Linked DNA regions of Arabidopsis thaliana. The protein of the gene in region 3 interacts with the protein of the main gene of each other region in a pairwise test. Each region holds a gene or a part of one and is shown on either strand. Other genes may lie near its edges.

What was found.
Region 1: the proteins of AT4G30240 (region 3) and AT1G64820 interact in a protein complementation assay, tested with the Arabidopsis thaliana proteins (one large-scale study listed by BioGRID).
Region 2: the proteins of AT4G30240 (region 3) and AT2G29250 interact in a protein complementation assay, tested with the Arabidopsis thaliana proteins (one large-scale study listed by BioGRID).

Annotation. Positions count from the first base shown.
Region 1 is NC_003070.9:24,082,489-24,093,480, forward strand, and holds AT1G64820 (MATE efflux family protein), read left to right. Parts: upstream 1-6,116; coding exon 6,117-6,913; intron 6,914-7,046; coding exon 7,047-7,133; intron 7,134-7,211; coding exon 7,212-7,268; intron 7,269-7,357; coding exon 7,358-7,596; intron 7,597-7,668; coding exon 7,669-7,874; intron 7,875-7,947; coding exon 7,948-8,070; downstream 8,071-10,992. Other genes in the region: ILA (ILITYHIA), read right to left, coding at 51-232, 897-915; AT1G64795 (uncharacterized protein), read left to right, coding at 91-258, 328-360; AT1G64800 (DNA binding / transcription factor), read left to right, coding at 2,598-2,945; APO1 (APO RNA-binding protein (DUF794)), read left to right, coding at 4,322-4,495, 4,580-5,788; AT1G64830 (Eukaryotic aspartyl protease family protein), read right to left, coding at 8,783-10,078.
Region 2 is NC_003071.7:12,575,903-12,586,773, reverse strand, and holds AT2G29250 (Concanavalin A-like lectin protein kinase family protein), read left to right. Parts: upstream 1-5,993; coding exon 5,994-7,865; downstream 7,866-10,871. Other genes in the region: AT2G29290 (NAD(P)-binding Rossmann-fold superfamily protein), read right to left, coding at 1-117, 212-276; AT2G29263 (uncharacterized protein), read left to right, coding at 2,346-2,531; AT2G29260 (NAD(P)-binding Rossmann-fold superfamily protein), read right to left, coding at 2,820-3,008, 3,153-3,259, 3,382-3,598, 3,714-3,921, 4,004-4,251.
Region 3 is NC_003075.7:14,803,113-14,813,912, forward strand, and holds AT4G30240 (Syntaxin/t-SNARE family protein), read right to left. Parts: upstream 6,964-10,800; 5' UTR 6,634-6,963; coding exon 6,551-6,633; intron 6,344-6,550; coding exon 6,229-6,343; intron 6,129-6,228; coding exon 5,544-6,128; intron 5,469-5,543; coding exon 5,369-5,468; intron 5,267-5,368; coding exon 5,247-5,266; 3' UTR 5,210-5,246; intron 5,124-5,209; 3' UTR 4,777-5,123; downstream 1-4,776. Other genes in the region: RUXF (small nuclear ribonucleoprotein F), read right to left, coding at 1-57, 306-370, 558-595, 674-785, 1,142-1,147; AT4G30230 (uncharacterized protein), read left to right, coding at 3,264-4,046; AT4G30250 (P-loop containing nucleoside triphosphate hydrolases superfamily protein), read right to left, coding at 8,150-9,715.

The DNA.
Region 1 (10,992 bases), on a different chromosome or scaffold from region 3:
ATCTTCGTCACTTATTTTTGCTCATGTCATAGGAGCAAAGAACAGATTACATCAATTCTCGATGTAGTCAGTGGTGGAGCCTCCCTGGAGATGGTGATGTTCAGCGAATTTCGAAACAGTTTGGAATTGGGATCCACAGAAGGAAAGAGGACGTTCACCGCTTCAGAGCTGATCGGTGGTGGCTCATCGGAGTTTTTAGCGGTTTCCGGCGAACTAACGGCGGAGCTTGCATCTGACGCGTGGCAATGTGAAGACCACGTATCATATACGTGTCCAACCCTAAATCAACTATACTTTAATTGTATTTTATTTCTCTGTTTGATTTAGTTTTGGGCCTGGCCTATTAATTTCCATATGTAATCCTCTTTGGACCTTCTGTAATCTGCCCAATTTGGGCTTTATCAATCAAAATGGCCGACAAAAAATAAATAAAAAATTGTGTGTTAAAAATGATAAATTCTAAACAAAAATTAGACAACAACACTCACTTAAATCACATCAAACAACATATAAACGGTTATAAATATGTATATTATTGAGTTAAAAGTTATAGATTTATGTCTGTATAGTTAGATATTAGAAAATACACTAAAAATACACTTTCTTAAGATCACTTAAAACGGCTTAAATCCATTTAATAACACATGCATATTAATTTTTTACAAAAAAAAAACACAAAATAATTTTTAAACCAATCATGCATACGTGTTTGCGGTCCACTATTTTTTTCTAAGTAAATCCCATCAATTTTTGCAATCCATGTTCGTTTTTGACGACATCGCCGCTTAGAAGCTCCTCTATATGCTTTCCATAAGATATGATGATATTGACCTTGTCTTAAAAGACACTTCCATATTGTTCTTTTGCTTACATGCTCGCCGAAACTAAATTCATACTTACCATTGAATAAGACATCGTGGACGGATATAGTGTTGTCTTTAGATGTGCAATTAACTTTGAGAATACTATTGGGAGCAAGTTCATTTCGAAATTCTAATGTGTTATCCTTGCAACCCCATGGTACTACTGTCCAACTTTCATTTAAACCAAAATATATGGAAATGACTATTAGAAAAACAATGAGATGGTTCATTTCTCGGATTCATAAGTTCTTTTGTAGTAATATGAATCTAAGACATCAAAGTGTAGTATATGGAGACATTATGAAGGCATTAGCTAAATTTAAACACAAACATGAACCAATAAACCTTTGGCTAGAGAAACATTTATCATCGAAAAACAAGGTGGACCAATAAGTTCAAAATAAAATAATTAACTTCTAATTCTCACCACTAAATTAAACAAACCAAAAAAGTCAAATATCTTACTAAATTCTTGGAAATGTTTTATTTTGATAATACTAGATGTCAGTTCTCGGTTTGATCGGTTTAAATAGGGACATAACTAAATGTTTAGTGTAAATTATGGTTTGGTTTGGTTCGGTTTGAGTTCAGTTAATTCGGTTCAGTTCAGTTTGGCTAGGTTTGGTTCAGTTTGGCTAGGTTCGGTCAAAATGCACATCCCTAATGAAAACATAGAGACGATAAGAGTCAAAAGTGGTAAAAACTGTGACATATCTAAACCGCTATGTCATAGTCTAGACAATTATTGCAGTCGCTCGTAGCACGGTTCTCAATTAAGATTTTAGCTTGTACAACAGGCTTGGTTATGATTTATGAAGTTACCTTGGTGGTCGACCATGTGGGTGTGTGCTGAGGTCAACCACAGATGAGGTTAGATGAGGGCGACCCAAAATCAATCTTTTAGGCCAACTTCTTCCTTTGCACAAGTTTGCCGCCAAATTGACATGTCTTTTATACTTAAGAGATTTGACATTCAATTATCAATGTTTCAAAAAAAAAAGATCATTCAATTTGGTACTTCAACAAATGTCAAATCTCTTAAGTACATGTCCAATGCGCTGTTTTGCTTCTTCTTTTTTTGCATTTTCCACGTTCTCGACATGTAAAGACGTAAGACACACGACAATACTAGAAGTGAAACTATATCTTTAGGTCATAAAACCGCATAAAACGATTAAATTATTATAAAAAATGTATGGCAATTATGTGAATTTCAAGCATAGAAGTTTTCTTCCTTTATTGTCTTTTCATGATTGAAACTCACAATCGTTATAGTATACGACACAACTCATTATTATTTTTAACAAGGGTTTAGAACAACATAAATTGGTTTTAAGATACTTAATTGTCATATTAACTAAGAATAATTTGTGTTCTATTTCCATTTAGTTATCATAAGTGAAGATCAGTGTTTGAAGGGCAGTGAGTGAAATTAAAGAAACTAAAAATAGCCATTTGTTTCTTAATGTCCACCTCATCCTTGATATATATCTCAATACGTTTTATAATTTGCTTGTGTGGTTGGGAGAGAGAGAAATGAGAACGTAAAAGAAGGAAAACACGAAAACAACACAAAAGGATTTGGTTGGTTTGCTTTTAAAATGCTAAATGACAGATACATACGGGTAAGAAGGCGTGACTCCCTCTCCTCCCCTCCCACTTTTTCATCATTGGCCATTTATAAATTTAATTCTCAATTCACTCCAAATCTCATCATCTCACGTTTCTTTATCGATGGAGGGTTCGTCTACAAGCCACAAACGCAAGAAAAATGACGAGCATACTAAGAAGAGCAAGAAAAGACAACATGTGAGAGCCAACAATGTAGAAAACAAGATGGAAGAGAAGAGAAGTGGGAGTAATGAAGAGAGTTTGGGAGTTTTTGAGTTCCCGTGGATGAAGGAGAGTATGATCTCAACCTCACTTGATTGGAGTCTACCGGAATCTATGTTTCCGGTCTTAGATGATGGTAATGAGATGTTTGAAGAGATTAGTGATGTGAGATGGCCAGTGAAAAGGGTTAGTAATTATAGGTTGGAGTTTGAGGCTTTTGAATGCATTTGGACTTCTATTTTGGATTAGATTGAAATATTTGTTAGCCATGTACTTCAAATTGCATTGAGAGTCTAGGACCAAACATTTTTCATTTTTGTTTTTGTGTTGATAATAATGTGTTTGTTGAGATGTAAAAGAGAGTAGAAGGAACGGAGTAGTGTTTGGTTATTTAGATACGACGGAAAAGTAAGGGATAGAGGAGCAACATTTCTTTCTGCAAAGAAAATAAAATGAATTTTGCATTAGTATACATGTCGACGTTAACATTTCCTTTACGATTCAACTTCGTCACTCGCCAAGCTTTGTGGCCTCCCTCCAGGACATGACAAAACTAAGCAAAAACGTTTCACTGATGGCATGCATGAAGATTCCATGTTTGATCATCGACACACAACCACTGTTTGGAATCATATATTTTCTGACCTCAACTTCAACACAAGACCCAGTATTAACAAAGTTCATGTAACTGTTTGATAAGAAAAATTGATGTTATCTTATCCATAACTGGAACAATGTGCTGTGAAAAGTTGAAAATCCTGAATGTTTTGACCAATTCAAGGCTAAAAACAAAGATTGTTAACAAAGTTTGGATAAAAGACTGAGCCAAAAATTAACTCAAGATAATTTAAAAGCTCATGCCAAAATTTTGGAAACAAATAAGTATAAATCAACGATATAACTTAACTAAATTTTGGAAGATTTCACATTTCACAAGTTTTTCTTTTCTTAACATGTTATTTTCTATATGAACATCTAATTTATAAATAAAACATATTGAAGGTTGTAATTTTAGATTTAGGATGATAAATTAGTTCACATAAATAAAAGAGAAATACATATTACGGGAAAAATATTATGTTTCGTAATATACAAATATTGAAAGAACAAAATCAAAATCAAAACTAAAATTTATTTAAATCTATTTCAAAAGGAATATGATCCTAAATTCTATTAAAGTTACGACCAAAAAAATATAATCTATTAAAGTTATTACTTTTTAACTTTTACCTACCATTTGACAAATTCGTTCTTATTTAGTTATAGAAAATAATAGTTAATCGTTAAATTATATTTTGGTGTCATAAAAATAATAATATATATTTTTGTTGTTGTGCAAAGCAGCAAAGGTGTCATAATAAAATCCAACTCACATTAAAACCAGCGGACAAGGAGTTAAATTCACCGTACTACACGGTCTGAGCTGATTGCGTGTTCTCTTAAAACTCCAGTTCACCGACGAACAACGAAGTATCGTGGAATCCATTTCATGGGCCGAAGATTTCTCACTTCTCTTCAGTGTATAACTTCTCTAGTTCTCTGTGTTCTTGTATATATGCACACCCCATGTTCGATGAAATTACGAAACCATGTAATCGTTATCAAATCCTCATCTATTTTCTTAAATGTTGCAGGAATCTGGGAAAGTAATCGTTTTTGGCTTAATTCTGATTTGGGTTCTTACTTATATAGTCAACATGCTTCTGGTTTCTCCTGCTTGTAGAGGTGTTTATCTTCAGACCATAGATCCAAAGCCAATTGATTTCTCAGCTAGAGCCTCTTATGCACTTTGCTTTCAGGTAACCATTTCATCTCCTGTAACTTTGATCTTGTTGATTCCTATCTTGAAGTTGTAAAGTTTGGATTTTTCTTCTTTTATGTAGATTCCTACTTCAATCCCTAAAAGAGAGTGTTTGATGAGGTTAGGAACGGTCTTTTGTTTTAATCAGAAGCATAGAGAGCAGACAAGTTTTAAGAAACGGTATGTATCTACGCAGAATGTGGATCTTCCTCCTATTTTACCAAAGAACAAGAAGAAACCTTATCCTATTCCTTTTAAGCAAATCCAAGAAGAGGCTAGGAAAGATAAGAAACTTGCTCAGATGGGTATAGAGAAACAGTTGGATCCTCCTAAAAATGGATTGCTAGTTCCCAATCTTGTTCCTGTGGCTGATCAAGTGATAGATAACTGGAAGTTGTTGATCAAGGGTTTAGCACAGCTTCTTCATGTTGTTCCCGTCTTTGCTTGTAGTGAATGTGGAGCGGTTCATGTGGCTAATGTTGGTCATAACATTAGGGATTGTAATGGTCCAACGAATTCACAGCGACGTGGTTCTCATTCTTGGGTTAAGGGTACCATTAACGATGTTCTTATTCCTGTTGAGTCGTACCACATGTATGACCCTTTCGGGCGGCGGATTAAGCATGAAACACGGTTTGAGTATGAAAGAATCCCAGCACTTGTTGAGCTATGTATTCAAGCTGGAGTTGAGATCCCTGAGTATCCTTGTCGCAGAAGGACACAGCCAATCAGAATGATGGGGAAGAGAGTGATCGATCGAGGTGGATATCATAAAGAGCCTGAAAAGCCTCAGACATCATCATCATTATCATCTCCATTAGCCGAGCTTGATACTCTTGGTGTTTTTGAAAGGTATCCACCTCCCACTCCAGAGGATATACCTAAGATAGCACAGGAAACAATGGATGCTTATGAGAAAGTGAGATTGGGGGTGACGAAATTAATGAGGAAATTCACAGTGAAAGCATGCGGATATTGTTCTGAAGTGCATGTAGGACCATGGGGACATAGTGTAAAGCTGTGCGGAGAGTTCAAGCACCAATGGAGAGATGGGAAGCACGGATGGCAAGATGCTCTTGTGGACGAAGTCTTTCCTCCAAACTATGTATGGCATGTGAGAGACCTTAAGGGAAATCCGCTTACCGGAAACCTCAGAAGGTTTTATGGTAAAGCCCCTGCTTTGGTTGAGATTTGTATGCACAGTGGAGCTCGGGTTCCTCAACGCTATAAGGCCATGATGAGGCTTGACATCATTGTTCCTGATTCACAGGAAGCCGACATGGTCGCATAAGTCCTTGGAAATGTTCAAAGTAGAACTCCTTTGTTAGGATAAAGAAGCTGAAAATAAAATGAGCTGGCTAGCTAGGATCTTTCCTCGTAGGAGACATTAGAAATCTTGTCATATAGTGTATTTTGCAATTTGGGTGTAAAATATTTTAGAAATCTTGTCATATAGAAATATTTTAGATATTTGTTTGATTCTCTATCATTGACAACTAACCCGGTCACTGGTAATTATAATGGAGACGACTTCAGTGGTATTTGTTTAAATTATTTCTTTGTCTTGAAAGATTCTAAAGATGTTTTGATCCAACGAGTTTTTGCTGAAAAACTGAATGATGGAAACGGATTTCTCGTTGGTGCGTAAGGAGGAGGAAGAAGAAGAAGATAACAGGAATGGGATGAGTTATTTGTCAATGGAGATGATGAAGAAGGTGAGCTCCATGGCGGCTCCAATGGTGGCAGTTTCGGTTTCTCAATTCCTCCTTCAAGTCATCTCCATGGTTATGGCTGGTCATTTGGACGAGCTCTCGCTCTCAGCTGTCGCAATTGCCACTTCCCTCACCAATGTCACTGGTTTCAGCCTCATCGTTGGGTTTGCAGGTGCGTTAGACACTCTTTGCGGTCAAGCTTTTGGAGCAGAACAATTTGGAAAAATTGGTGCATACACTTACAGCTCAATGCTCTGTCTTCTCGTTTTCTGTTTTTCAATCTCTATCGTATGGTTTTTCATGGACAAGCTCTTGGAGATTTTCCATCAAGATCCTCTCATCTCTCAATTAGCTTGCAGATACTCAATCTGGCTCATACCGGCTTTATTCGGATTCACTCTTCTTCAACCTATGACTCGGTATTTCCAGTCACAAGGAATAACTCTTCCTCTCTTCGTGAGCTCTCTTGGAGCTCTTTGTTTTCACATTCCTTTCTGTTGGCTTCTTGTCTATAAACTGAAATTTGGAATAGTTGGCGCCGCTTTGTCCATCGGTTTTTCATATTGGCTCAACGTATTTTTGCTTTGGATTTTCATGAGATACTCTGCTTTGCATCGTGAAATGAAGAATCTTGGTTTGCAAGAACTCATCTCGAGCATGAAGCAGTTCATCGCCCTCGCGATCCCCTCTGCAATGATGATATGGTAATTTACATATCTACATCCAAAAAAAACAAATCTCAGCAAGATTTAAAAGCTTCTTGGTCTGACTCTGATCTACAATGAATCCATAATTTTTTTTGTTCTTTGTTCTTTCTTTTTTTGTGTGTAAGTAAAGCCTGGAATGGTGGTCGTTTGAGATTCTACTACTAATGTCTGGACTCTTACCAAACTCAAAGCTCGAAACATCGGTGATATCCATTTGGTACATACATATCATTTTGTAAAATAATTCAAACAGTCAAAAAGCTTGTGATATTCCTAACTTCTATTCATGGAACAGCCTCACAACATCGGCTGTGCATTTCGTTCTGGTGAATGCGATAGGAGCATCCGCAAGGTTTTATAGATTTCAATTGTTCACAAGAATCTGATTTTTTCATGTAACATAGTATCTCTTAACCTATTTTATCCTGTTTAACACTATAGCACACATGTCTCAAACGAGCTAGGAGCTGGAAATCATAGGGCAGCTCGAGCCGCGGTTAATTCTGCCATTTTCCTTGGTGGTGTTGGTGCATTAATAACAACCATCACACTTTACAGTTACCGAAAAAGTTGGGGTTATGTATTCAGCAACGAGAGAGAAGTGGTTCGCTACGCAACCCAAATCACACCCATTCTCTGCCTATCCATTTTCGTTAACAGCTTTCTCGCCGTGCTCTCAGGTAAGACGATTATACTTTGTTTCTTGAACCCCAAGAAAGTAGGTTCAAATCAAGAATTCTTTCATATTTCAGGGGTTGCCAGAGGATCAGGGTGGCAACGTATAGGAGGTTATGCAAGCTTAGGATCATATTATCTTGTCGGAATCCCGTTAGGATGGTTCTTGTGTTTTGTCATGAAATTGAGAGGGAAAGGACTTTGGATTGGTATACTCATAGCCTCCACTATCCAACTCATTGTTTTTGCTCTTGTCACCTTCTTCACCAATTGGGAACAAGAGGTATATAAATTACTAATCATTTTACTTCTAGTTACGGTTACAGTTTTGAATCTGGTTTTGGTTTGTGTTTCAGGCAACGAAAGCTAGAGACAGAGTATTCGAGATGACACCTCAAGTCAAAGGCAACCAAAAAACACAAATTATAGTAGAAGAGGATACACAAGTTTTACTTAATCATATTGCAGAAACTGTGTAAAAGTGTAAAACCACTTAATGCAACTCTATTGGTCTCCTTCGTTTTAGCATCTAATTACTACTCTTGGATGCTTTACATTTGCATGATGTGTGATTTTAAAATTCTATGATCGATGCGTCTTGAGAATATAGATTCTTATTTCAAGTTTGTCAGGGCACACACTACCCATTTCACTTTAGAAGAATTTGGAATCCAATTTTATGCACATAAACTAACAGAGGTCACCTAAAACCATTTGCCTAAAGATAGATGCGAAGTTATGAATTCCTTAAATACAGAAAATTTGAAAGTTTGGATGTATTTGTTTCATTAAACACCATACGAAAACTATCATAAGTTGAAACGATACATAAAAGATCAACATGGTCACTCGTAAGAAATTAGACTTACAAATTGAGTAGTCTAATCTTTTTTTTTTTTTAGACTATCATATTTTTACTATTTTTATTAGAATTTGTTTTATTTCTCACGAATAACTCTTTCTCTATATAAATTCTAAAAGTATTAAATCTTCAACATCTATGCATGATATATGTGTTTGTAAACGTTAAATAAAAATGATAATGCAAACATAGTCGCTACACGCTAACACAAACACTAAAAATTTAAGACCAGTTTTATTATAGGTATGTAGCATGTACTTCAGGAGAAAAATACACTATTCTTAAGAAATAAATTGGGTAGTATAATAAGAATAAGAAGGTTTAGTGAGCTACATTTGAGAGCAATCCGTTTTCTTAAACGACACAGTTCCAGAAACAGTGTCGTATCCAACAAGGAAGTTCATTTGCGCCAAGTTTCCAAAAATGGTTAGTTGTTCATTTGCAGCAAATGCAAAGCAAGACACATCTTCAGACACTGCCACAAACGTATTCAAATTGCCGAGTTTCACATCACCTCCTTTGAAATGAACAGTTATGTCTGGAACTTTAAAACTAGAGCTGTCTCTATAACAAAGACTCAGAATACCATCGGGATCTTGCACTCGCTCTGCTTTGATTGTAGAAGCAACGACAGATTCAAGCTCATAGTAAAAATTGGATGGCAATAGAGTTAGAGTGGTACCGGAGTCGATAACAATGTTTCCTTCTCCGGTCCCAAAGATTGTGCTTGTGAATTGAATTTTCTTGCTTCCCACGCTAATGGCTTCTAGGTTTAGGAAATAGTATGTGGCGGGATCTTTCTTGACCATGGAGGTGGACACAACTCCATCGCCCGAGACAATGCCGTTTGTTCCAAAGTTGATCTTGCTCGTTAGGCCGGTTTCAGAGGTGAAAGGTACTAAACAATAGGAGAATTTACCGTTGATGGATTTCCTGAGTTGTGAGACCAACGATGTAGATCCTCCTCCGAGTCCGATGATCCCTGAGCCAGCCGGGTCAAAGGTTCCAGTGTTTTCGTGTCCGCAACCAATGATCATGTTTCTGAGTGACACAGGGCGGCGACCGCTAGATCCCATCGTCACGGTGTCAACGGCAACGTCACCTTTGGTGTATGAATTGTCACCGTATGTAATCGTATAAGAACAAGTGTTTTCATCTGTGGAACAAGAAGCATCTTCTAGGGCACGACATTGGCTTGAGGAGCAAGAAACCTTTCTATATGTGGAAGATTCTTTAGGATCAAAGAGTGGAGATGTCTGCTGGTAACAATCTTCGCAAGGATTGCATTGAGTCCAAATCAAGTCGCTGCCAGTATCCGCAATCGCTAGTATCGGGACCGGGGGCGTCCCGATGGATATGTTCATGAGATACTCACCGCGGTTGGAAGTGATAAAAGATTGTGGTGAGTTTGGTGAAGCATCATCATTGCTGAATTGGAGTGTACTGCGAGCGGAGCGGCGGATAGCATTTCTCATACGTTGTGAAGAGGTTTCGGCGGAATTGTAGAACGGTGATTTGGGAGAATCGCGGTGGATCAGATCAATGGTGAAGCCATCTTTCGGATAGGCGTTCACGTTTGAGAGTAACAAAAGGGACAAGAGAGTTGCAAAAATTAGAGAAGCCATTTTGAGAATCCTTTGAGAGACGTAACTATAGACTATAGCTATTTGAATAACCATATTGTTGACTACATGAATGAGTTGACTTATTTGTAATGTTTTATGATTTTTGGTAATTATTAAATGCAAAACGTAGTTATGGTAATAAATGCAACAAATTAAGGATTGTAATGTTCTTTGAATATTGAATATTTTATTTCAATAAGAGAATCTATGAATATAAAAAATTTAAGAATGGTCTTTGAATATTGAAGATCTTATTTCATTTAGAGAACCTATGAATATAAAAAGGACAACTTTTTGGGTTTAGGCTATAATACTTGAAAATGTATATATTATGAAAACCATTAAAAAGAAACTTTTAAATTGATGAAATATTATTAAAGGGAAAAAATGAAAAATGATGTTTTATTTTATGAAACAGAATCTTGGTGAAATGAATTTAACCAATATTAATACAAAACAATATACCACATGTTAAATTCTAAAATTAATAGTATTCAAAGAAAAAATATAATCGTAAATACTAGCAAAACACAATATTAAAAAAAAATACAACTTTTAGTTTTAACACTAAAATTAAAAACGATAAATATTTTTGGGTTTCTGTTAGTCCCTCTGTTCCAGCAAATTTGATGTTGTGAGATTCTTACACAAATTAAGAAAAACAACTATTACATTTTAATATTATTGTTTTGTTAGTTTAATAATATTAAAAAAAAATTTTGATTAACAATAAAAGTAATAATAATATTGATATTCAATTTTTGTGGAAAAAAAATAATTTAATATTATTGTTTTGTTAGTTTAATAATATTAATTTGTTTTTTATTAGCAATAAAAATAATAATAATATTGATATTCAATCTTTGTGGAAAAAAAGAAATAAAAATAAGGGTGAGTATTTTTTAACAGAAATA
Region 2 (10,871 bases), on a different chromosome or scaffold from region 3:
GTGACCTGAAACCCTTTTTCTTGCCATTCACGTAAACGTTCTTGAAGCTGAGTCTCGTCTCTAGCACATGTGTGGACTCTTGCTCCCAAAATTGACAGTTCCTCCACAACAGCTTCCCTGTTCATGACACGCACACACACACAAACATAGTCAGTTCTTCCATAACTAAATATCACAATGCAATAAAAGAGCATCTAAAATGGAGACTGACCCGATGCCTTTAGTGCCACCGGTCACAAGAGCATTCATACCTTGAAGACTCCATCTTTTATCCATTTTTTCTTGTATCTTACTTGAAGTGACCAGAAATGCCACAGATTTTGTATATACAATGAATGTGGAACGGATAAGTATGAATCTAGTGATTATCTTTGTATGTGTGGTGGAAATAATACGTAGCCTTACGAGTGAAGATGAAAAAAATCTAAGATAGTGGTCCTAACCAAAATTGACATTTTATAGTCAAAATATTTGAGCAAAACTTGCTCATTGTCATTTCCATTAACTTCACTCACAAACGTCTTACAAGAATGTTGAGCTTGCCCTCAAACAACGAGGAGACAGTTTGCAGAGTGTTTCTCTCTCCGGACGAGAGGATACATCACAGATTGTACCACTCACTTGAAATCCTTTCTTTTCCCATTCGCTTAAACTTTGATTGAGCAGTGTTTCAGATATGTCGGATACATGGACTTTGGCCCAAAACCAGCTAGCTCCTCTACTATGGCATGCCTAAAACATTCCACAAACATAAACTCCTTGAATTCTTGACCATTTTGGATATCAAATAGAAGTAGAAAAATGGGGTAAGAAGACAAACCCAATTCCTCCCGCTCCACCGGTCAGAAGAGCAGTCATACCTTGAAGACTCCATCGGCTGTTATCCATCTTTATCTATCACATAACTAACAAGAGCTTCTTTAAATTGTATATAAAGATAGATTACTAACAACTTTGTAAATAAGAAAAGATACAATTACATGATAGACATTGGGCAACTCCTGATAGTTACATCTAGGGCTGTCCATCTTACCTAAACTAGTGGGCGTTTGGGACCGTGGACAATGATTTTAGCTATCAAAATTATCCGAACATATATTATATTGGAATACTTACTCAAAACCCAAATACTCAAAACCCAAAACCCACTATTTCATGTCTCATTACTCTAAATGGAAACCCTTAGTGACATCTGCATACTTTGATGGACCCTCATTTGACACCCATGCTGAGGAAAAAAATCTCTCAACATCAATTCTGACCACTTGTCTTATCTTGAGTTTATTTCAAACCCAGCTAGCTAGTTCTTCCACTATGTGGTATGTCAGTATATGACCACTTGTAGGATTTGGACCAAAGTTCTTTTATAAATTACTAGAGAATACCCATGGATATTGAATTTTGGGATTTCAAACCAAATTAGACACTCCATCACATGTTGAGACACCAAATGATACCATTAGGCGTTGGCCAAAGTAGATAATGAATTCAGATATTGAACTCTCGTTCACCACAAGCATAAATATTTCAGGAAACAAAACATAGAGAATAACAAGAAGAAGAAGGGGGACCCAATCCCTTTGGCATCACAAGCGACTTTAGATAGGAACTTATCTAAAGTACATTTCTTAATTATTACGCAGGAAAATATAATCCAAACACATGCATATATGTATTTTAAGGCAGAGTCTTGAAGGAAAAAACGTTGACAATGGCACCTCCAACACGACCCATCGGTGGCCTACTCTCCACCTTTTCTTTTGCATCTTTATCATTGAGAAACTGAAACATTTCATACAAATCAAAATTGGGAAGTTATGATATAGATATATTTTCATAATAATAAGGAGACTTTTTACTTTTCGCCGTACATTATTAGTTAAAGGAGTTTTAATGAACCAAGGACAAACAGAGCGCCCTTATGTTGTCACTCGCCCATTTGCAAGCTAAGTTTCTAGCCAGTTGATTCATGGCTCCTGAAACGCATCTATATGTTACGAAAGCATCATAACGCAAGGGAACATTGTTTTAAGGATGTAGACATATATACGGTAGCTTCGGTTGCTCCATAGATGGATCCGACTCTCAGATGGACAACCCCATCAACAGAGGACGTAAGGACAATGCTCCCTGAACCTGAAGCTTTCAACAAAGGATTGGCGAGCTGTGAGAGATGGAAAGCTGACTCCAGATTTGTAGCCATCAGCAACGAGAAATCTTCTACTGCATATTTTGTGGTCGGTTTGGCTATACACTTTCCTGCATTGCTTACCTGTATATATACATCGAACCAAAAACATTATTAAACACAGAGACAAAGCGATATTAACCAAAAGCAGAGCTTAATGTGCTGTAAATACAAGGGCAGAAGAAGAGTGACCCGAGACACAGGTGGCGGTAATTCATTAAAGGTTCCTCGTTTATTCTATGCAGCTTCTCTCTTCCTCAACCATTGTTTGTTGGATATGAGTGCAGGTTCAAGACACAATGAAAGCCAAAACCGAGAAAGGATGACACAGAATACAAGCTAATGAATACTAACTCAAGAAACATAAAGTTTTTGTTTTCATAAAAGTCATAACATGAAAAGGTTCCTCAGCAATTTTCCCCCACATGCACAATCAAGATAATCAGTAAAAGACAAGGGAAACTGAATCACGCTGTCTGATGCTAAATTATCCTTTTCATTAACAGTAGACTTAGTAGCACAACTTCAATTCTCATCTCATATCGATGAACTGTCTTTCACGGGAGAAAGGAGACATGCTAAAGATAAAACAAAAAGGATCCCAAGGAAACTAGTAAAACAATAGAGTGGCCTAATCATGTCGTGGGAAGAAACCGTTTATTGACATTCCACCATCAACACAAAGAATCTGCCCTGTAATATATGATGATGCAGGTAGGCATAAAAAAGCCACTGCAGAAGACACCTCTCTCGGTTCGCCAAGTCGACCAAGAGGAGTTACTGAGTAGACTTCTTCTAGGTACTCTTTGTTGCTAAGGACCTGAGACCAAAAGACGAGAACCATTAAACAACCCCATCTTAAACAAGGAACACACAAATTAGCTTAGTCTTTCTCATTTTGATTTTCAGCCTCAAGAGCTTATATTTAACCGCATAATAGATAATAAGGCTTTTAAACCCATACTTGCTCCACCATAGATGTTTTGATATACCACGGGGCAACAGCATTGATCCTTATATTGTCTTTGGCCCACTCGCAAGCCAGACTTCTCGTAAGTTGATTAATTGCTCCTAAAACACAAAGGCCAACGAAAAGAACCAAAGTTTATCCATCGCCTGCTCGTTAAAGAATCTAATACATCTTGGTAAAACCTGAATAAATGAATGAATGCTGCATAAGAACAAATACCTACCTTTGGTTGAAGATTGGACCGACATATTCTTGAGGGAAACAAAACCAGAAACAGAAGAGATGAACACAACACTTCCAGCTTTAGATTCTCTAAGCAATGGATAAGCAAGTTGACATAAATGGAAAACCGATTCGAAATTCGTAGACATCAGAGTCGAAAATTCTCCAGCAGTAAACTCTACCATTGGTTTCCTAATGTTCGTCCCAACATTGTTTACCTAAAAGCATCATAATTACACAAGAAAGTAAAGTTATTTATTTACAATTGTTCTCACAGACAAATTAACAAACACTTTATGTGCATTATCTCTAAGCAATGGCATTAAACCTTACAAGGATATGAAGCTTCCCTTCAAACACAGATGACACGGTCTCCATCAAAGCCTCTCTCTGAGATCGATCAGAGACATCGCAAACGGATCCAGCAACTCGAAAACCAGAACGGTTCCAATCACTCAAACAATTCTCCAGCTCGTACTCATTCCGAGCGCAAGTGTGAACTTCTGCTCCAAGACCAGCCAATTCCTCCACAATCGCACGCCTGAGAATTTAAACAGTAACACACACTACTCTGAGAATTTGCGTTTGATAAAGGTTCACACTTGTTGTGAAGAGAGACAAACCCAATTCCACGAGTGCCGCCGGTGACAAGAGCAGACATTCCATTGAGAGACCATCTTTCCTTGGAGGTAATGGCAATGGAACTCTGTGATGCGTAAGGGACGAAGACGGAAGAGGAAGAGGATTTGTGTTTAGGGTTTATGCGTTTGAAAGAGAGGCATAAATGAGGTTTAAGGGAAGAAGAAGAAGAAATAAAGTGAAGGTTTTGAGGTGGATTTGTGTACAAGTGAGAAGCCATGTCAAGCACCATTTATGCAGAGCAGAGTTTATGTTTCAGCTTTTCAAATGAGTCAGAGTCACCTTTATGCGAAGCATGGTTCTGATTGGTTTAGTGACGATGACGACGTCATCATTGCGGCAAATTTTAAATTACTGTATATATATCTTATAAACTTTATAAAATATCCATAAATTATTAGACACATTTATAAACTGTAACAAAAAAAAAATCATAATCAATTTCTTTATTTAAAAAATAAAATAAAGCATTTCAATATTTTAGTAGGGAAGATATTAGTTAATATCATTAGAAAAAATAGAAAAAAAAAGGAGAAAATGCAACAAGAAGAAGAGAAAAAAAAAAAACTCTAATTCATTAATTTTTGCGGATTAACTGGATCGTTGCAGTTTTTTGCTTTATTTCGATAAATGAACAACAAAAACAAAAGTCCATAAAAAACTTAGTAGATGCATAAACTAACCATAGAGAAGTCGATAAATGTGATGCTCTATTAATACATGCGAGTACGGAGTATCTATTGAAGAGGTACAATACTACAATTAAATCACAAAGTTTACCTTAGACCAAAAAGAAAAAAACATATAGATTAGTAATATATAGATTGTTAATATAATATTGTATGTTGGTGACAAAATAAATTGCCTAAGTTTTGGTTAGAAAATAGAAATACTTTAACCAATATAAGCAGATTACCTAAGATCATTTTTGTAAAATGGAAACTAATTATTTTATGTTTTGAGAATTCTTCGTTCGTAAACAATCTTTGTACTCTTCTCAGAAAGTTGATATATTTTTAAAAATTCTTTGACTCTAATCTAATGATGTTAATTTGTACATTGTATTGTTGTGATTTCTTCGTTTATAGAATATATGGAACTCTATCTGACTACATCTACATATACAATTTTGCATGAAAACTTCTCTAGATTTTGTAATTATTTATTTTTGTACAAGTTTTCAGTGAGAACAAGACTAAGATTTGAATGGTCAAGTATTCTTCTTCTTCGTTTACAAATTGAATTTCTTAGTTTGACAACGTATGTCTTTATAATAATAATAAAAAAAAGTTAGGATATTTTTTTATTATAAATATTCATATTTAAAGTTAACACTTTAATTTCAAGGAATGTTCAATTGTTCATCCATTTTTTATTTTTATATTGGATATATAGTGGCTAAAAGCCTAACATAGCAACGCCTTTTATGCGACATATAGTTGATAATTATTGCAAGTTTCCTCCACAATTTCTTCCTAATACAAATAATTGCACAATTACAAGACTCAAGAGAAACCTTTCTATTTGTTTGTATCACATAGTCATAGTGGATAAACGTCGATCGTTAGGCAGTCAAAATTATATGTGTAACAAAAAAAAAGGTGATTCACCCTAAAGGCTAGCTAAAAGATGACGTTTTTTTTGTTCAATAATTTTTGATCCATTATGACTTTGTAATCACATTTAAATTATACAGAAAATATGTAACCATTTTCTTGTTTATTTTGCAATCAATTTTATTAGGAAGAAATTGTGGAGGAAAGTTCGAAAGAATTTTTCAAGGATACTAATATAAAGGTTTGCAAAAAAAAAAAGGGTTTGTTTAGCAGTTTATATAGAAAGTCAAATCTTCAACTAAGTTTGTTTAACTTGTCAGCATAAACAAAAAATTTGAATATGAATGTGTCTTGAGCTCTTTGAAGCTATAAAAAGATAGCATTGAACATAGCTAACATCAAAATCTGAAAACTATCAATGGCTAATACCTATAAATCGATAGCTGTATCAATAATCTTCCTACTATACTTTTCTTGTGTCTCAAGTCAACAACAAACCAAATTTCTTAACCATGGCTTTCTGGAAGCTAATCTCCTCAAGTCTGGCTCGTCCAAGATCCACCCGAGTGGCCACTTGGAGTTGACAAACACTTCGATGAGGCAAATAGGTCAAGCTTTTCATGGCTTTCCCATACCATTCTTAAACCCCAACTCCTCAAATTTGGTATCTTTCCCCACAAGCTTCGTCTTTGCCATCACTCCAGGACCTGGCGCACCAGGCCACGGCTTAGCTTTTGTCATTTCACCCTCGCTGGACTTTAGCGGGGCCTTACCAAGCAATTATCTAGGCCTATTCAATACCTCCAACAATGGAAACTCCTTGAATTGCATTCTTGCAGTTGAATTCGACACTGTGCAGGCCGTTGAGTTGAACGATATTGATGATAACCATGTTGGTATAGACCTCAACGGAGTGATCTCCATTGAGTCTACCTCCGCTGAATATTTTGATGACCGAGAGGCAAAGAACATAAGTTTGAGGCTGGCGAGTGGGAAACCAATAAGAGTCTGGATCGAATACAACGCAACTGAGACGATGCTCAATGTCACATTGGCTCCTCTAGATCGTCCGAAGCCAAAGTTGCCTCTTCTCTCTAGAAAACTAAATCTTTCTGGGATCATCTCTGAAGAAAATTATGTTGGATTCTCTGCAGCCACGGGAACTGTCACGAGCTCACATTTTGTGCTAGGCTGGAGCTTCAGCATCGAGGGGAAAGCATCAGACTTTGATATCACGAAGCTTCCCTCTCTTCCAGACCCGCTACCTCCATTGTCTCCATCCCCGAGTCCTCCGGTTTCAGTCATGAAAAATTCGAGTAACACGATGCTGATCATAATCATTGCTGCATCAGCAATATTTGGAATCTTGATCTTAAGCTTCTTAGCGGTTTGCTTTTTTCGTAGAACGGAAAACTTCACCGGAGGCGCACGGAAATTCTCCCACCAGACGATTTCCAGCGCGACGGGAGGTTTTGACAACTCTAAGCTTTTGGGAGAGGGAAACTCTGGGAGTTTTTATAAAGGGCAACTTGCTCCTACAGAGATAATTGCCGTAAAGAGAATTACTTGCAACACAAGGCAAGAAAAGACAGCCCTAATAGCCGAGATCGATGCAATCTCCAAGGTAAAACAAAGAAATCTTGTTGATCTACATGGTTACTGCAGCAAAGGAAACGAGATCTATCTTGTTTACGAGTATGTTATCAATAGAAGCCTAGACCGGTTCTTGTTCAGCAACGACCTACCAGTTCTCAAATGGGTACACCGGTTTTGTATTATAAAGGGTATTGCGTCAGCACTTCAACATCTTCACGCTGAGGTTCAAAAACCTCTCATACACGGAAATGTCAAAGCAAGTAACGTTCTTTTGGACGGAGAGCTAAACGCTCGACTAGGAGACTATGGACATGGAAGCAGACACAGCACTACGGGACACGTTGCACCAGAACTAGTCAACACGGGAAAGGCTACATGTGCCACAGATGTGTTTGAATTTGGAGTGTTAATCATGGAGATTGTTTGTGGAAGGAGAGCCATAGAGCCGACAAAGGAACCGGTAGAGATCAGTTTAGTGAACTGGGTGCTTCGAGGGGTCAAGAGCGGAAATCTCTTAAGGAGATGCGACAAAAGAATCAAGAAAAAGAATTTAGTCTCTGAAGAAGTGTTATTGGTTCTGAAAACAGGACTTCTCTGCGTGAGACGATCTCCAGAAGATAGGCCAATGATGAAGAAAGTGTTGGAGTATCTCAACGGTACAGAACATCTCCCTCATGATGACTACGTCGTCTAAAAGAGGAAATGGCTAACGATGATCTCGAAACGCCGTTGTACAAATCAAGATTGGACCCAAGATGCATAAGCATGATATGAATAATACATAGAATAACTTTTAAAAATGGAAATAAGAATTTCTCGTTTTGAGAAATTAATTTCATTAAATATTATCTTCGATTAAACAATCTTCGTACTCTTCCGAGAAAATGAATATTTTAAAATATTTGTGTTTGATTTTAAATTCTAAATGATGTTTGTTCGTCGTTTTAGGATAACTAGTATGTATTGTTAAAGAAAAGATAAGCAAATAAATAGTATTGTTGGCAGACTTTTCTAGCCCTTTCATTGTAATTTCAATTATCTTTGTTCACCAGTAGATTTTTATAGTAGCAACAAAATCTAGATTTCTATGGAATTTGGGTTCAGTATAGATTTTTTTTTTTTTTTGTTAAAGGGATTAGTTTAGATTTTGGATTGGATTCACCTGGTTAATTTAAAAGAAGGGTATATGCACTAGATGACCATGAAATCAATAATAATATAGAAACTAACTATGAGTCTATAGTGTCTGTCGGAGACGTATCTGAAATTACCCGCAACCCCCTATAACTGTGTTCTTGGTTAGGGGACATATAGGTGTATAGGCGTATGATTGCAGAAATTTGAATTTTGAAAACCTTGGTAAGAGCAATGCTGTATGTGGACGCAAACGATATAGATTTTAATTTCGAGAAATCGATTTATTATCGAATTTTTTGAAATATCAGGAGCTCCAAAAAAAAACCTAGCGCCGCTTCATTTGCTGGTTTTCCGAGAGGAAACGTCTTCCGTTCTCTACCCATAGATTCTGCAAACTCTCCGAATATCTATTTCAAATCTATATTGTTTCTCATACATATCGTTTCTTTAGATTCAATCTCGCAGTTAGGCAATCAATTCCATCGGGCTACAGGTAATTTCACAAATATATGCGGTTTAAGCTATTCAACGTTCTCGATCGCCATCAACTTCTTTATTTCTCCAATCTATATTCCGATTAACTGAAATCTTAGGTACATACTGTTTCTGATTTATAAACTTCTATTTTGTGCAGAAAAGGGTTCGACTTGTAGATGATGAACAACTCTTTACCCCGTCGATTGTTTAGGTCTGGATCCGAGCCCAACGGTGAGAGAGTGCAGTCCTACAGTGAACTGTCTTTGATAGATGACATCGCTAACGCGTTAGATGCGGAGGACATGAAAATTCTCCGGGAATCTCAGTTTGGGAAATTATTTGATTTCTCCGAAAGCGCCGCGTATTCTGGGAAGCTTATTCACTTTTTGCTAACGAGGCAGCTTGTTGTTAGGAAGAAACAAGAAATTTGGGTAATTTTCTCTGGATCCCCTGTTCGGTTTTCCATTTCTGAGTTTCAAAATGTTACCGGTTTGAACTGCGACAAACCGCCTCGTATGAAAGAGAGGAAAGGGAAACGAAAATTGGCGCCTGGCAAGTATTGGTACAGCCTATTTGACCGCAGTGATGTATCTGTTGAGTGGGTTGTTGGCAGGCTGAAGAAGCGAGTGGTTCAAGATCAAGGAATTCGTTTACGTTACGCTGTGCTGGCCTTGATTGATGGCGTTTTATGCCCAACCTCGGGTAGAAGTAAAATCTCTCCGGTCCATGCGGACATGGCAGAAAATTTAGACATGTTTCTAAATTTTCCTTGGGGGACTATGTCATTCCTAATGACGTTGAAGAGTGTTACTGCAAGGGGAGCTGATAAACTTATGCGGAAATCTATCACCGTTCAAGGTTTCCCACACGCACTCCAACTTTTGCTACTGCAAAGTGTTCCTCGAATCAGAGAATTGCAATTCCCTGAAGCCGTTGAAGATAGTGACTCAGAAATGGAGGAAACAGATACGGAAATTGAGCGCTTATGGAGTTTGAAGTTGGATCTTGTTTGGAAAGTCGACCGGCAGTCTCAGGTGAGCAATGCATCTCTGCTCTCGTAAATTAATTTTCATATGCTCGTTTTTATCATGAAAACCTCTTCTTTTCCTATCAAAAACATACAATTATAGATTCATATCATTCTGTGTAAACGTGTAGCATGTGGCTTAGGTTTTTAATATGTGTTGATTTACTATTTGTTATTTATATCATGATTTCTGTATAAATTGTATGGTTTTAAATCTGATCACAGTTTCTTTAGAATAATCATAACATGGCTGTAAATGTGTAGCATGTGGTTAAGTTTTTTTTTAATATGTGCTGATTTACTATTTATTATTTATATCATGATTTATGCAAAAACTGCATGGTTTTAAATATGATCACAGTTCTTTTTAATAACCATACCCTGTTACCTTAGTAAGTCACGTATGGCGGTATGCATTACAACATCTGGTTATATGATGAAATAACATGTTGTTTTTAAGGAGCACATGGGTACATAATCTATATTTCACTGTTAGTAACAGTATAAATACTTTTAGTACATGTAATAAAACATAATATCATGTGGCTAAAGTCTAACTCTTTGTTTTTCAGATTAAAGTCGTTTCTATTTGGAGTGGAACACCGACTGGTGACGCTTTCAAGTCAGGTTGGGTCGAGGACGAAGAAGATCTATCTGTTGACTACATGTTGCAACTAATAAAAGAGGAGCACATATTCAAGGGGTCCATGTTTTCAGGTGGTGTTGTCCCTGATTCGCTACCCGATGAAAGGAATGACAACAGTGATGTATGTAGCACTTATGATTGTGTTGATGAGGATACCATACAACCTGATGCTTCCTTGCCTGGCTCTTCTAAACCCCGTAAAACTAAAGGGCAGGTTCACATACCAGATTCGATTAAAAATTACATTGACATGAAAGACAAGCGTATGGAGTCGCGTATGTTGAAGGCTATAGCTGATTCAGAGGCTAGATTGAGCAGCTTGTTGAGGGAAAGCCATGGCAGGAAGAATAAGCGTCACAGTGGTCCTAAGTCAAGAGATGTGGGTGAGGGATTAGGTGGGAAGAAGGGATCCT
Region 3 (10,800 bases):
GCGTCTTCAAGCTCTTCATCTTCTGGCACACCACGGACATACAAAACATTGTTGCACCTATGTACACAAAAGTCAGCAAATTAATTCAATGGATCCGAAAATTTCGAAGCAATTACAAACCTGATAGTTAGTCAATGAATCCACTACTATCAGAGAGAAAATGATAAATGTGTGCTAATAATGGCCGCCAAGTCTAATTCTTAAGTTTTATCAAGTAATGACACTTCACTGTGAATCATATAGTTGGAAACATAAACTGAATCACAAGGAGAAAATAAGTAGAGACAATGAAGTAATATTATTACCTGATCAAGATCTCTCCAAGGTTCCCTGTCAATTGTCCATCAATATATTCTTCGGTGTTTCCCAGCTGACAAAAACAATATGGAAAATGTCAATGCATAACAATCTATGTATCTGTACAGATTATCAGCATTGCCTCTAAACTTGTATGCACAAGGAACATTTAGCAGGTGGTTTTGGACAAAATAACATCAATCTCTCTGTTTAATCAAAAAGCTATCTTATCTAACTTTGTAATTCAGGAAATAACGCACCTGCAAGTTCATGTAGGAGTCAACAGAGGCGAGAAAACCTGTGAAGTAGAAGGAAGACTGTTAGCTATATAAGCTCTGGATACTTATCATCAAAAGCATTTTGAAGAAAAATATACCTTTGTATTCCATTCCCCATTTAAGCTTGACGATAACAGTCTTGCCGGTCAAGTTGTTCAAGAATGGTTTCGGGTTAACCGGAATAGTCTGCAAAACACACATACATACAAACTTGGTTCATCAAATACTAATGGAATGAACTCAAAAGCATCACATTTGAAGATAAACACATTGTGCATTTTCCAACGAATTCTCGAATGCAATTTTTATGTAGTGGACTATTATACTCGTTAACGACATATATATAACAATTTCGAATCAGATTCAGATTCGCAGATACTCCAATCTTTTACTTGTAATCAGATAAATCGACGAGATTGGAGCTGAAAGAAGAGCTCAGGCCATCGAATTTCGCAATCCCTAAAACTACTTAACAGATAAAATTCTAATTTTGAGCTCAATAAAGAAAGGAATTAACTAATCTAAGCTCGAACTTAGAATCAGAAGACGAAAAAATCGAAACTTACCGCCATGAGTTTGAGAACGAAGAGACGAAACGAAGATCTGGGAGAACAAATATCGATACGCTTGTGGTTTCTCTCGATTTAGGGTTTTTGGCTGGGTTTATTCGTTGCTGTACAGAAGATAATGGGCCTGCGAAAATATCTCATAAGGCCCATTATTGGTTCAACTGGCTTGCTTTGTGAAATCTCCATAAAAGTGAAAACAAATAATACATGACAAAAACGACATGCATTCCAACCTAATGACATAAAACCGGCAAGAAGAATGGTTTCTCGAGAACAAAAGTCCATTATATTGCATTCATCTTTACACAATGATCAAATTTTGTCAGCTTGCCTTTAAAACAATTAGCCGGCTTTCTACTCTTTGACCATCCAATTATTAGTTTAGATTATATATAATTCCATTAGAATTCTATAATTATTACATCAAAACTAAAACGATTGGCATCACATATATGACCAAAGAATTAGGTGAACGTGAACCACTCATCTGTTGAGGTCATCCATCATCTAGTGCAAAGTATTTTTCATTTTTGAGGTCTTTTCATTTTTATTTTTTTTACAAGTCATTATATGTTTACTTTTTTTTTCACGTCATTATATGTTTACTATGATAAAGAAAACGCTTATAAAATCAGCATGCTAATAGAAAAGGTTATCTACATCATGATTTTTATTTTTTGAACAAAAAAACATTTGAAGTGAACTGCTATAGATGTGAATCATCTTACTTTTTTGCGTTTAAAGGCAAAATAGTAACATCGCACCATATGAAATTGTTATAAAAAGGGAAAACAAATCAAACTTTGTAGTCAAGCAATGTATATGAATAACCTACTTATGACTTGTGCCTTGCAGCGTAAGTTGATGTACGTTGAAAACGAAAAAACAAAGTGGATAGTTTGTAATTGTGGCTCTAATTCCTTTAGTTTTTTTTTCTCTAACAATTGAGTTTCTTTAATCACTACACTTCCACTTCCTCGATTTAATATACCTAAACTATAATTGGATAGTTGAAAATATCAAAAACTATAGTCTAGAATATAATTATAATCATCGTTTTAATGTTTGTAATAACCGAAAGGTCCGAAACGAAATGTTAGCAGCCAGGCGAAAGTCATTTTCTCAGCTGACCTCAGTTACGCGCAACAATTCATACCTCAGCACTTATTTTTTATACTTTTGTCACAATGTCTTAGTCTTCTTCTGAATTAGTCTCGACTATCTTTTTTCACAATCAATATGCTTCATACAGTTTGTTTGTGTGTAAACTTGCTCCTTCGAAAATATACCTAAAGAAAATTGTCTAAACATTTTTAGATTGTGTTTCGCTAATTCTTATATATATTTATATAGAAGTGGTGACATGTCGAATCTATATTTTATACAATACCATCAGTTAGCTTTTTGCACAGTCTTTTTATTTTACCGGTTGGGTGTACAAATCTATGCAAATTTGTGTGATCGTGGTACATTTATGTACATATGTATAAACATATAGTCTTTGACAAAGAATTTAAAAAATATAGGCATTTCAATCAAAGTTTTACATCATGAAGAAATGTAAATCTCAAATTTTCAAACATTATTAATTTGTGTTTGAATAATTCTATCTCTATCATTCTTGACCATGCTTTTGAATAACTAAATTTTCTAAGCTGAAAAATCGGAAAGATTCATGAATAAATGATCAATGCTATATATGAAGACTAGAGTTACTTGTCTTATCTTTCTTGTCGTTAAAACTATATATGAAAACTAGAGTTAGTTAATATTAATAGACACTTTGTGTGGTTAAATAATAAATAATAAGTAAGATTTGCTATCTTTCTTGTCATTAAAATTGTATTATTGTTATTACCAACATAATATGTCATATATCGACCTGAAATAATTAAATCATGAGAAATTTGGCAAACGGAAACTTCGGATGGTCAACAATCTACAAATATATGCATGTATATAAATACACCTAAAGAATTCTAACCCGTAAAACAAAATAGTTTCCACTTTAAGTTCTGTAAAAGTATTTGACCCCTCTAGAGACCATGTATATATATGGTGACAAAAATTAATACTTTCAATATCTTCATTGTCTTCTCTCTCTCTCTCCCTAAAAAACATGGAAACTACAAAAAACACTAATCTCCAAAACCCTACTAAACTCCCAAAACCATTTCAACATCACCTAGAAGAAGAAAAAGAAGACGCACTATCTCTCCGAGATCTTCCCCTCAAAGCCAAGAATCCTAATCCCACCACCACCGAAGACCACAAAGAACCGTCAACGGAACTTTTTGAGTTTCTAACCTCATCCTCCTACGACGTAGCTCCGGCAGAAAATATAATCTTTGGCGGGAAACTCATCCCTTTAAACTACCAAAATGCTTTCTTTTCACCTCCTGAGCACATTAGCCGTCGAATCCGTTCACGGTCTGAGTCCTTATCCGCGATACAAGGCCATAAGCTTAACCGTCCCGGTAGTTGTACCGTGGCACGTCGTGACAATGCGGGACCTATGAGGGCAAGCCGCTCTTTAGATTATCGTAAGCTTTCACGTGGTCTAACCACCGTACATTCTCCACCGGAAAATAGTTCATCGACTAAAAACACGGGGAAGCCTGAAACAACGTCTTCGGGAAGTGTAAAAAGTGTAAGGCCAAGATGGTATGTGATCATGTTTGGAATGGTTAAGTTTCCGCCGGAGATCGAACTCAAGGATATAAAGAGCCGTCAGATTCGCCGGAATATTCCACCGGTTATGTTTCCATCTCCTGCTAACAGGAGAGCTCGTGGATCTCGGTCGCCATCACCGTCACCTTCTTGGAGGTTTCTCAACGCTTTAAGTTGCAAGAAGCCCACAAGCGTGGCTGCTACGGCGCCGTTTTGGGTTCCTCATCCATAAATTACTATATTATTCCTACGAACATTGTGCGCGGTTACTTGCTCTGCCGTTGATTAAGAAGGATAGGATCGTCATTTAGTATAAGAAATATCGATATTGTTAATTTATTTTGTGAAAGAATGTCGAAATTGTAATTTATTTGGTGAATCGATAATAGTTTGGACCATAACACATCTTATTCACACCTTTTTCTTTTTCTTTGATTTTTTCGTTATTTTGTATTTCAGCTCATTTAGAATATTTCAATATATATTTTAATAAAATTGTTTTTGAAATTGAATTGGTTAGGTGAGGAATGAATGATGATCAAAAGAAGCACGAGAAGGATATGAGAAAAATTTATTACCTTACTTTTCCCAATGGGACTAGTCGATTTTTAATGATTTAGACAGGAAGTTGTATCATTTTTTAGCATTTATCTGTGCTTCGAAGTTCATGGTTGATAAATGGTATGATCAAATTCCATCTTGAGAGACTGTGACATGCACCTTTCTTTTGTCCAGAGACTTCTAGATTCGAAAATTATTAGACATTTTTCTTTCTTCATAAATCTTTTTCACCATTATCATATGTCTATATGATACGACCTAATATTAAGATTTTTTACTTAGCTTAGAATTGACCTAAATTGGTACTTTTGGGCTGTGACACTATTAGTGATGAAAGAAATTGAGACGTCAACTATAATGCGCATTTTAAAAGAAAGTAAGACAATGATTGGAACAAATGACTTGCCAAGTAAGTGAAAGAGGACAAAGAATGTTTTGTTCCAAAACAAATATCTGAGAGACAAACAAACACTGGAGATATCATTGAGCACAAACACGCATTGGTTTCCTTTAGGTACACGTCTAAAGTTTAACGAAACGTCGTAGCTTCAAGTTTTACAAATTGATCTTACAAATTTACAGGTTCCTATATGTTCCCTGAGGATTAAGAGAGAGTAATAAATCAGGCTTTGTCCTTCATTTGAATCTTGACAAAGTCTTTTAATCTCTCCTCCTTCCCTCGAAGGATGTTGAATCATGTAGCATCTAACGAGTGTGTAACCCAATACGCAAGAATCTGTGAAAAAACCTGCAAGATACACGAAAAGGATGTAATGTTTAAAGATTGTTTTAGAAAACTTGGAGTTCTGATTTAGAATCTAAAATATCATTTACCTGTCAATGTTTCTTGAGAGTTTCTGAAACCGCGGTTTTAAGTTCTCAAGATGAATACTGCAAGGGTATAAACAAGGAATTTGATTCAGTTATAGAGAGTAGAGACTGTCATGGAACAGTGGTGTGACATAACTCATGAGAACCAAGAGAAGGACTCACATAGAAGAATCAAGATTAGCGTTAAGGAAAGAATGAGCTTAATAGGGCGGCTCAATGGAACGCGAAATCGTCTTTGATAAACCTTGACTCTGTCAAAGAGCTGCAAAATGATAAACAACTAAGACTTATGATCCTTTCTAATAGTGTAGAGATGATCCAAACTGCAGAAGCTTACCTGGTTATAATCACGACATCTCTGCAGCCAAAACATAGGTTTAGCTCCTTTCTCTTTAGGAGTGTCTTCAATATGTGATAGGAACTTCTCCCTCTCTTCTTCTTTTGCATTAACAGGGACATTAATCCTCAACGCACTGATATTTGGTACATTTGGTGAACTCCATGTTCTTCTTGTACCGCCTTTTTTATCTGCACTTTCCGGACTTCCTATGTCGTCAATGTCTATCACACAATCAGGACTGTCGCCATAACATCTACCCTCTCTTCTGCCATTGATCCCACGTGGATTCTCAGCTACAGAACTCGTTGAGGAATCTCTCAAGTTGATGCTATCACTGTTTAAACTCTCTGACGTCTGAGAAGATCCAGATAGAAACATGGCGAGATCATCACGCTCTTCTTTGTTAAGATCCACCCAACGCAAAGGTTGTTTCCCATTCTCGCTTAACGACTCTAGCAGAGTAGATTCCACTTGATAAATCTGGTTTTCAATAGCGGTAACAAACTGTTTATGCCTAGTTAAGGTAGTGTCATCTCGACAATTTCCATGGCTTAAGCTCACTGCCCTCTCAAACTCTTCCAACTGATTCAAGTCACAACAATATAACCAATATCACTAACACACTCATGAGTAACCATGAAAAAAAAAGGGAATGATCAAAGGACCATTGATTGTTTCATACCTGCCATTTAGCAGTGCTCAAAGCAGCTTGGAGTTCTTTGCAGAGCTCGTCTGATTCTACGGATACTCGACCGTCTCTCTTCTCTTTAAACCACAACCTATACGCAGATTCCATTCTGGAAATACAACACAAATAAGAAACAAAATTTCAAATTTGATAACTCAATTCCTTCACAAAACACAAAGGTTCTCACTTAGACCATTCTAGAGCCAATTAGTCCCCTAAACAATCGAAATACCCTATTTTTCAATTGAAATTCCGAATTCCACCATCACAAGCAACATGAGTCAATTAAACAAACAGAGAATCAAAAAACACATACATATCAGCAGATTCTTGAACCTCCTCAGCTGCAGAGAAAAAAACATCCTTTTGCCATAGATCGAAACTATTCGCTACCATCATCTTCGAAACCACACCTAAACCCTTCAAATTAAAGACCAAAAAATCAACCCGAAAAGATTCGTCGGAATAGATTCTCTCTCCGATTATAATCCAAAATTAGATTCTGCTTCCTTCTCTTCTCTTCTCTTCTCTTCCTTTTTTGCCTTCAGGAGGAAAGAAGGAATTTTTATTTTTTCTTCCTCCAGCTTTCTGTTTTTATTTTTTATTCCTTAAATTCTTCGATATTTCTTTGCTTTCTTCACTTTAAACGTTAATGGAAGATTTTAATAAAGAGGCCTCTCTGAACTAAATTGACCATATTTCACACGTGTTTTATTGTAATTGGGAAATAATTTAAAGTAAGATGGTCTTAGCTGCAGGAGATTACCGCTTGTCAAAGAAAAACATCAAGAATGTCCGTGTTGTTGTTGGGCCTACCGGTTTGCCGCAACATCAATTGTTCGCCAACCGCATTATATTATTATTATTATTCTTTATTTTAATACTCTCTATACAAGTCAAATGCTAATGAGTAAATAAATTCAATAAAAACTCAACGCTAATTTTAACTTTTAGTTTAGTAATAGACAGTAGGAGCAGGACAAATTGAGGTGGCATGTGTAGCGCATGTGATATCAAAATTTTAACTAGTTAAATTGAAATTCATAAAATGAAAACATGTTTTGGTGTTTTCAGTTTTGGAGAGACATGTTTTGTTAAATAAATTTAATTAATTAGTTGTTGTGATATGGTGAAATACCACCTTCTTCAACAAATCCCAACCTTGATTTTGGTGTTTTCAGTTTTAATTAGTTACCAAGACCTGTTTTTGTTCTTATTTAGACATTAACCGGTGGTAGATTCTAGAGATTGGGCCCATAATATATATATATATTTTTTTTGATCAAAAAGATTGGGCCCATAATATAAAACAACTTTTTTCTGATGCAAATCTCTTTGGGTAGGATTGGGCTTCACTACTACAATATGTCAAAAATCAGCGGTCAATATTATATTTAGAAAAAAAAAAAGAACGGATGGATTTTTCAGGTCACTTCTAGTTTGAAGTCAAGTGTTTGATGTGATGATTCTTTAAATGTCACTTCTCGAGTAAATTGTTTTCTTGAACTATAAATTTTGAAATTTACAGGTTTCACATATAACCTGTATAAAAAAGGGTGTGACACTAACCAATTTACAACACCCAAAGTCCAAACGCCAATTCTCTTTTATCTCTTCAAAACAAACGTAACCGACACGAAAATTTGAGACAACATATACAACAACAAAGTGGCAATTTCTGCAGCATTAGTAGATACAAAAGCCAGTTTAGTCTCAACTCTCATGTAGCAAATCTCAGAAGGTTAACTTTGGACAGTGCCTACTTTTGACTTAAGAGTAAACCAAAATGGATAACGTTATATTATATGGTAACTAATCATATATTATAATAATTTTGACTAAACAAAACGGATAATTAAAAACACACAAGAACCACCATTAGATGATGATCCTAGGATAAACAGTCTCTTATCATTCACTTCTCCTTCTCATCTTCTTCTTCTTCCTCCTCTCGAAACCCACAAACCTCTCTGTTTCTTCTATTAGGACTATCCAAAGCTCTCTTCTCTTGTTCTTCCTCTGCTTCTTCTTCTTCTTCTTGACCTTCCTGTTTCTTCTTCTTCAATCCAACACTCTTCCTTCTCTTCACAACTCTCTCCTTCAACACACTCACAATCTCCCTCACCGCCTTCTCCGCATCACTCCTATTCCTAATCAACACTTCACTAACATCAGCCGGAGTAATCTCTGCTTCCTCCACACATTCTTCCATCTCCTTCAAAACAACACTATCCATATCTTCTTCCTCAAGCCTCAGATAATTCTTCAACAGAATCTTCAAAGCCGGAAACTTACAAAAACCCATGTGAACATGCATATCCATCCTCCCACTTCTCATCAGAGCAGAATCTAACTTCTCTATATGATTTGTCGTGAACACAAATATCTTCTCACTCCCACAACAAGACCAAAGCCCATCTGTGAAGTTCAATAGCCCCGACAGAGTCACCGAGCTTCCCGGTTCCTCCAAACCCGACCCGTTTGTCAAACCTGGATCATATTCATAGCTCCCATTCTTCTTTTTGTTCTTTCCTCGTTTCGTCAAACTGATAGAACAATCAATGTCTTCGATGACAATGATAGACTTAGAGCTAGTCTTCATCAACAGCTTCCTCAATTCAGAGTTGTTCTGAACCTCAGTGAGTTCAAGATCGTAAATATCGTAACCAAGGTAATTCGCCATTGCAGCAATCAAACTCGATTTGCCAGTTCCAGGTGGTCCATACAACAAGTAACCTCGTTTCCAAGCTCTTCCCGTTTTCTGATAAAACCCTTGTCCGTTCGCAAACTCCCTTAGATCCTCCATGATTCGCTTCTTCTTCTCAGGATCCATAGCCAGAGTATCGAACGTGCTTGGATGCTTGAATCTTACAGAATCCCATGGATGGCTCCTCGCGTCGAGCGAAACACCTCTTGAGTTCGTGTAAAGCAGTCTCTCCTCGTTTCTCCGACGAATCTCCTCTGATTTTCCGACAATGTAATCAAGGTAAGAATCTAGGACAAGGGCTTTGTCTCTTTTGTTGATCTGTAACGTAAACCCTCGTTTCTCTTCCGGCATTGGTCTCCACGAAAAGCTCTGTACTTGACGTTGTACAACGACGTGTTCCCAGAGGATAGTGACGCCGTTAAATACGTCGGTGATTCTGTCGTTGTTGGAGAGGCCGAAAGTAACGGAGCTTGAGTTAGGAACACGTGTCAAGCTGAGACGTGTGTTGTTGTTGCTGCTAGAAACTGCGTCGTTGACGGTGACGGAAGAGCTGAGGTAAAGCTGAACGGCGTTGTAGAGCTCGTTGGTGTTGACGCCGTCAATCTCCGTTATGTCGAAGTAGATGTGAGAAGAGAACACGTGGCGGATACGTGTCAAGAAGTGGAGGAAAGCTAGTCGGAGTTCAGGCGGAAACACGAGTTGGACGATTGTTTGACAAAAGGCTAACATGCCAAGTAGAGAAGCCATTGTTGTCCAATAATCACTCATTTTCATTTTCTTACTCTGTTTCTTTTCCCTTTGAATAAAAAAAAAAATTGGGTAGAGAATTAGAGAAATTGAGAAGTGGGTTTGTGGTTAAATGAGGAGAGAAGAGTAGGTTTAGTGTAATTATGGAGATAAGAGTGTGATTTTTTGAAGTTATTATTCTAGAGATTTGGGAGGGAAAATGTTTGGTTGAGGCTTTTGGGAGAAGAGAAAGAGTGACGTTGGTGGAATTTATTGAAATAATGAAATAAGGGATCACCTCAATTTATAAGCAATTGGAGGAGTCGAGGAGACATTTTACTTTGTTATTTTACTAAAGAAAATATTGTTTTGATATTTGCGGATATGACCATTTATTTTGTTGTGTATTGTGTATTGTACAAATTATATGAGCAACTAGTACTCAATTATTTCATAGGTCTATGGTTTCTAGGCTTACAAAAAACAAATTACAAGTTATCGATTGAATGGGACTGCCAAGAGGTAATGGTTATGTGACATGTAAATCTCACATCGGATACTATTCGACTTTTTCTTTTGTCCAACAAAATGATAAAGATGAAAATATGAAATTACTTTTAAATTTTTTGTGAGCAAAAGGTTGAAACTTGAATGGTGAAGAATGATGAAAAGAGAATATAAAGGACGGTACCAAAGAAATGGATAGGTTTTTACTCTTACGCTAATTGAATCGGACAAACAAGTACAATAAGAAAAACACCACAAACGACAAGAAATAGTTAAAATTAAAAAATTACATACCAAAAGAGGGTAAGTTCTTACGAGACAGCCAATAACAGATCATTAGCTGGATTGGTTCAATGTAGTAAGAGGTTTTGTTTTATTGATTGGTTCTAGTGTTCAAAGGGGGCTCTAAAAATTCCTTTGTGTATACTTGTGGTTTCTATTGGTTACTACAGAAAACTTGATCAGTAAAAGCATCATTATCAATGGTTTCTTAAAAAGTTTATAAAATCTCTTAAAAAATTATATAAAACAAAATAAGAATAAAAATATTAAAAAAAGTTCTTAGAAAGTAAAATTGGCTCTTAATTAAGAGTTTTTTTTATACTTTCTCTCATCTTACTAAGAAC